Oryzias latipes: one gene and its partner. The protein of the gene in region 2 purifies or fractionates together with the protein of the main gene of each other region. This does not show direct contact. Links are inferred from orthologs where the notes say so. Each region holds a gene or a part of one and is shown on either strand. Other genes may lie near its edges. The genes, in order: lysine-specific demethylase 4B and fbxo22.

Region 1 (3,825 bases), on a different chromosome or scaffold from region 2:
CCTCTCCGACCTGAAAGGTGCATTCCGGCTTTGGGGCTAATAAGAACCCAGGAGGGTTGATGCATGTTCTGTCTTCTACATATGTGTCCAAATGTCTGGACCTTTATGGAGATTTTTGCATGTTTAGACATGTACACACAAACAAACGGATTTGGGAAGAGTTGGTTTTTAGAGTGGGTTTTACAGATCGGCTTCCTGTGAATTAAATTGGTTTTGTTAGCTTCATTTTATTTGCAGCATTAAAACGCACTAAAATAAATTAAAGATATCCAATCTAATGGATATCTTCTGTCGATATTTGTAAATAAAATATTAAATAGAGAAAATAATATAGAAGATAGTGTTGGCTTATTTTAAGACAATTTAAATAAAAAGTGATTTTTAAACCGAATAAAAAAAGAATCTAAACTAAACTATATGTGAATTTAAATGGACAGTCTTAAAGTCCCACTTCGATCATCTTTTGAACTATTTAAAGGTGCTTATATAATTTTTAGCCAAAATAAAATAAAAACAATGTCGTTTTCTAGAACAGTTTCAGCAAAGTGGCAGGAGTTCATTAAAAATTTGCCTTGAAGAAAAAAAAATCGGAGCTATCCATCTGTACAGTTTTAAGCCAGATGCCAACTTGGATGAAGAAAACGACGACGTACATGGATCAAATCTTCTGCAAGACGATGTATCAGAACGGAGCGGAGCAGGGAGCTTGTGGCCCTGCTCACTGTATTTTTCTACGGAACAAATATAATCTTTTTCTTTTGCATTTTTTTTGTCTGCTACTGGTGCACAACAGTTTGAATAAAGAAATACTTAGAAATGCAATTTTTAGCTTACTTTTTTTGTATATGTGCCTTCCATAGCTTTCCTGCTGCAGCTAATACTTACTGGCATGAACCTGCATTTCACAGGAGGTACAGCGCAGCAGTAGACTGGTGCCATCCTCCCTGATGTGGTGGTTGGTGGGGGGCGGCTCCGGGTTTCCTGCTCCGACACTGAAGCACATCTCTGGCACCAGAGGACGAGTCCAGCTGCCGTGACGGGGGAAGGGGGCGTTTGCGGCCTCATTCGCAACTGAGCCGTCTTTCTGCGGCTTGAGTGGTCACGGAGAACGACAAGAAAAGGCCTCAACAGGGCGGAACTTAAGACAAATGGGAAACTGCTGCAAGATCTGCGGTTTCTACCTTTGCGTAAGGACAGAAGAGGGAACAGACGGCACAGTGAGGTTGGAGTGCAGCCACAGCAGCATTGAAGGCCTTCTCTGCCAAGAAGTTGGGAGAGTGATTCTGCCATAGGTGCTCCTGCTTCTTCATGTCACTATCAAGGCGAATTTGAGAAGAAAGCTCTGTGGACAAAACAATACGCCAGTTAAGCCCCATATCTACAATTTGGAGTCATTCAAAATCTTAATTTCAGGAATCCATGTGGCCTTTGAAACACATCTATGCTTCGAATCTCCAGAGGAGCCCTGTCTAGAAATAGTGACAAAATGCACCGCTCCGGGAAAGTAACACCATCACTTCTGACATAATTGGATGAAGAACCAGAAGAGAATCAATAGTTTGTTTCAGGTACATCGACATGGCAGTGAAGCCTTCAAGTCACTGAAACACTGCTTCACTAAAGTCAGGGATATTTTTTCACAAGCTTCCCCTTAAAAAGTGGAGCGTGTTTTTCCTCCACCAGCCTTCCCCCTCTCCCCCATCCATCCTTCTGAAGGACAGGCCGAGTCTGGTCCCCGGCTGCCAACATAAAGTGACTTTGAAAGCAGGTAATTGGAAGTCATGATCTCCAGATCAATAAGTGTCAGTCAGAAAACAAAAAACGAAAAACACAGCGGGGAGAGACATCATCTTGATTTCACCCTCTACACTGTGATGGTCGAATCACCTGTTTGTTTTTTCCCTCCATATTATTCATTCAAAGGACAGCATAGAACATGTCTTATTATAGTAAAATGATAAACAGGACAAATGGAAATAAAAACTTTCAATTCCAATTTTTTTTTTATTTTACAACCAAAAACTAGTAATGTCACAAAAATGTTGTAAACGTCACATAAAGGGGGATACCTTTCTCACTGGCCGGGTCCTGCTTCACGACAGATGGAGGTGTTCGAGTGGGAGGCTTGCTCAGCGGGTGGCGCCGACTCTTCTTCACCTCTGTTGGCATTTTCATCTTAGAGAAGCTCGTCTGATAAAAGAGGTCATTTCCTGTTATTCTTTGGTTTTATGAAACACCTTTTACTTTATACAAATTTAACTTGAAGCAGCATGTTGAACAGCAAGACCAGTCAAGGACAAAGCCGGCAGAGCAAACAACCTGCTAGACCGGGAAATGTAATCTAATCAGCCCCCCCCCCCCCCTGAGCTGAGGACTCCTTGTCTTCAACAAAAAGATATTCTCTTCCAGAGTGTGAAAATGTTAAAGGCCGATGCTACTGTTCCCCCCTCTTGACCTCGGCATTCCTATGACTAGCGCGCTCTTTTGCAGCTGCGCTCGGATTGTAACACAGGGGGACACCCACCCTCCCACCCACTGAACCTTGTGTACCGTGTGAATATGTGCTTTTGTGTTCAATCGCTGCAGTTTTTGTCTTGTATCTACGCATTGTATCACAGTGTTTAGATGTGACTTTTTTTTGTCACCATTGCCCCTATACCCCCCCCCCCCATTTGCAACCTATCCACACCCATCCTAAGCAAGGCAGCAAATTTACTGCTGCAGCCTCAGTCAACTCTGAACTGTACATCTGTATTTCTTTTATGTCTGATCTCATTCGAGTTGCACTGGAATTAATATCCTATGTCAGTGTAAAAGCTGTGCAAACATGCATTCAAGCCATCTATCTATCTTATTCAGAAAAGTTTCAAGTATTTGTATCCAAAAAATTACAAGATCCAACTGAATTGTTATTTTTATGTGTTTGAATTGGTTTTAAAATAAAAAAGCTGTTGCGTTTTCCCTTGCAAGCCAAAAACATTAAAGTATAACTCATCTCTGGAGTCTCACCTGAGTCACATCCACTTTATTGTCTGCTGGGAAATCATTGATCATGTTGGCTGAATTCTTCATGGTCGATTTGGCGAACTCCTCAAAGACTTCTTCAAATCCAGACAAAGCATTAGAAGTCCTCTTCTGCTTTTTGTGCTTCTTTTTGTCAACATCATCTGTTCCGATCTGTAGTTGGACTTCTTGTCCTTGGGCTTTAAAACAAGAATTTGAAGTCATTACGGAGGATTTCTTAACTATATAGTCTGAACAAAAATATAATAACTACAGTCTCCTACGGTTAATATTGTTGTCACTGTCAGCAGCTGGAGTCTCTGCAGCTTTAGCAGCAGCCTCCTGCTCCTCCCGCTCCATGGCCTCCAGAGTCATCAGGGCCTCTCGAGCTAAACGCTCCTCCCTTTCCTTTTTGCGCTGAGCTTCACGTTCCTCCACCTGGCGCTGATACTCTGCAGCATTCAGAGAAATTCCCTCCTCTGCCAGGACCTTCACCTCCTCCAGCTTCAGACGACGTAACATTTTCATCTTTTGCATGGCTCTGGGGAGGCGCCGAGAGAGACGGTCAAAGAAAACTCAACATCACACACAAGAGCCTTTTAGAACACTAATCTAATGCTGCATTCCCACCGGACGTGATTCGCACTTCAGGTGTTGGGTTAAAACAACCTCCAACATCCTAACAACTCAAAAAAGAAAGAAAGACAAACGGACTAAGATACCTTTACGAGGAGAGCAACAGAGATTATACCCAGTTAACAATCTCTCTCCATTCCTGGCGCATATTCTGCTGCTCTTCGAGCAGCAAAGTTGATGTGCAAG
Region 2 (2,679 bases):
ACAAGTGTAAACGCGGAATACTGACTGAGTAATTGGCTGAGGCTTCAGTGCGCGTAAAACGCAAAAAACGCGCATTTGCATTTCTGTTTTTGCGTGGATTGAGAGCACAGATTCCGGGAGGAGCTGGACTGAACGGTCTAAAAAGGAGCCAAAAATCAATATTGTTCATATCATAGAAGAGAAGGACTTTGGGATATCTAGAAAACTGCAAAAAAAAAAATGTAAATTCTTCACAAAAACATTGTCAGAATCTTTTTTTTAAATAATTTAAAGGTGTTTTTTTTACAGAGATGCAATTTTCGCATTAAAAAGTTAAAGCCCTAATTTGCATTTTTTAATAAAAGTAATTTACTTAGATTTAACAATGACATTACAAATATTAACAGTAAGCTGGCAAATTACAAACAAGAAAATGATCATTAGGAAGTTTATTTTTGTAAGGAAAAGGCTATTTGACACAATTCCAGGCAAGAAAGAAGTATGAAAGGAGAATCTAAACACAAACCTTATTAAAAACACAACCTGGATTGTTGTTTTTTAAAGAAAAACATTTTTGGAAGAAAAAAAAAAGCCAAAGTAAAATAACTTCTCCAAATTTTCTGAACCAAAACTGTTTATTATCAACAGCAACATGAAAAAAAGCCCAAGCATTTATAAATATAAGCAGCAAATTATTATCTGGAATGTGGACAGAGCACACTGGAAAGCTTCCCCCTGCAATCCTGCAACCGAAACCATGAATTCTAATCAGTTGGCTTGACATCTTTTATTGGGAGCATAAATGTATAAAATGCATTTGATATACATTCCCCTCTTAAATGTTTCCATGGGGCTGGGGCCTATCCCTGTGGTCACACAATACTGGGTACATTCTGGATGGTTTACCTACACACCCTTAAAAGGGTAGATGTGGGAAAACTGTTTAATGTAAAAGATGCATACGTTTACCCTGTTACTCGTTTCTTTTACTTACAATAAAAGTGCCTTTGAAGAATCAATAACCTTTACACATGCTTGAGAAATACGGCAACACATAAACTCACCTTTAAGGAAAAGGGAGTCCTGTCAATGCACGCTGAATGTCTGATATATTGCTAAAAAAAATTAAAATATCAAACAGTATTTTACACTCCAGAAAATCTGTTTTTAAACCTCCAAAGGGGAACTTCTCGGCTTTGAAGGTTCAAAATCCTCCATTATTAGTATGCATGTCGTTAAATTTCTTCTGCAAACTTTCAACTTTTAGCGGATCTATTGACCACTGCAAAGCTTTCAGCCCAGATGGACAAGGGTCATGACCGTGGTGTACTCGTGCTGGAGGGTGTCCATGTCTGTGTCGCAAAGCGTGTAATCATCTTTAATGATGCGATCGCAGCCGATCTCTCCGTTGCCGAAAAGGCCGAAGAGCGGCGTCTTGGGGAAGACTTTGCGAAAAGCGTCTGCCTCCACGTTAGGCTGATTTTTGTAGTAGTTTTGGCCTCTCCCAACACAAGCAAACATTAACCCCAGGGTATTTTTCTCTGGCATCTTGGCTGCGCTTAGACGCCGGATAGTGGCTTCCGCGGTCTTTGGGCAGCTCACATCTTGGTCCAGAAGCACAGACGCTCCCTGGACTTTAGGGCCACTCAGGGCCAGTCCCACTGCGCCGTATGCACCATCGCTGCAGCTACAGAGTGGGAGATGGCGGAAAGTAGCAGGAAATGAAAGCAGCTCTTTACGTAACAGTAGTTATTCATCTTTTTCAAAGGAATCTTGGTAATAAGTTCGCAACTCACCAGTGTCTGGGAGGAGAGAACACACCTTCCACAATCCCTCCTGCGATCAGAGCCTTGGTCTTGGCCAGCGGCTCCAGAACTTGATTCAGAAAACGAGCTCCTCCAGTTTTATAGACTTCGTAAAAAAATATCAGCACTACACGCAGCTCTGAGTTATCAACTAATCCTGGAAGTCAACAAGCAGATGTTTATTACAAGAACAGACACAGAGAGCTGCTGAAAGTATAGCCTTATTTTAGTGACTAACCTGCATCTTTAAGGGCCGTCGGGGAGATGGTCTTCTTGCAAAAATGGAAGGGCTTGATGTTTACGCCCTCTGTGCTGGGGAACATGACTGCAAAGCCAGCCTCTCCATCTTGGTACTCCTGAGGAGAGCCGGAGCAAGAGCCAGTAGGAGTCACTGCAGAAAAGCGACCAGAACGTCACATATGAGGGGGGAGTATGGGAGCTGGAGCTCACAGCCTGTTCAGAACTATTCTTCTCCATAGCTCAAGATCCGATGAATATTCACTTTTTGAAGAAAAAACAAAAAAACACACACACAGGAAGGAAGAACTGCTATGAAAATCAACATCTTTCAATTAAGAAAAAACAAAAGAGCAGAAAATGTGTGCAGTTACAACCGTTTTACTAATGCATCAACTTTCTGCTTTCTCATTTAAATGTGAGACACTACTGTCAGAGTTCACTACACAGAAATGTGTTTTTGATTCAAAATCTGAGAAGTTATTGGTCATAATATCACAAACCAATACTGATGGTAAAAAGCAAACTGTTCCAAAGAAATAAGATGATTGTCCTTAAAAGCAAGAAACCAGCAGAATAAATACTTGAAGTCCCACAATTTTCAACGTGTTCCCAGTTAAACATGATTTTACCGTTTAAAAAAAAAGCAACATTGTTT

The links.
Region 1: the proteins of fbxo22 (region 2) and lysine-specific demethylase 4B purify together in Homo sapiens (affinity purification with western blotting; 3 studies listed by BioGRID, with this or other methods). This does not show direct contact. The link is inferred for Oryzias latipes from reciprocal best matches to the Homo sapiens genes FBXO22 and KDM4B.

Annotation. Positions count from the first base shown.
Region 1 is NC_019862.2:10,434,895-10,438,719, reverse strand, and holds part of lysine-specific demethylase 4B, read right to left. Parts: intron 3,545-3,825; coding exon 3,288-3,544; intron 3,204-3,287; coding exon 3,010-3,203; intron 2,191-3,009; coding exon 2,070-2,190; intron 1,343-2,069; coding exon 1,182-1,342; intron 1,091-1,181; coding exon 886-1,090; intron 1-885. UniProt on the Homo sapiens protein: Histone demethylase that specifically demethylates 'Lys-9' of histone H3, thereby playing a role in histone code. Does not demethylate histone H3 'Lys-4', H3 'Lys-27', H3 'Lys-36' nor H4 'Lys-20'.
Region 2 is NC_019861.2:26,481,416-26,484,094, reverse strand, and holds the end of fbxo22 (F-box only protein 22), read right to left. Parts: intron 2,176-2,679; coding exon 2,023-2,175; intron 1,942-2,022; coding exon 1,776-1,941; intron 1,667-1,775; coding exon 1,273-1,666; 3' UTR 596-1,272; downstream 1-595. UniProt on the Homo sapiens protein: Substrate-recognition component of the SCF (SKP1-CUL1-F-box protein)-type E3 ubiquitin ligase complex that is implicated in the control of various cellular processes such as cell cycle control, transcriptional regulation, DNA damage repair, and apoptosis.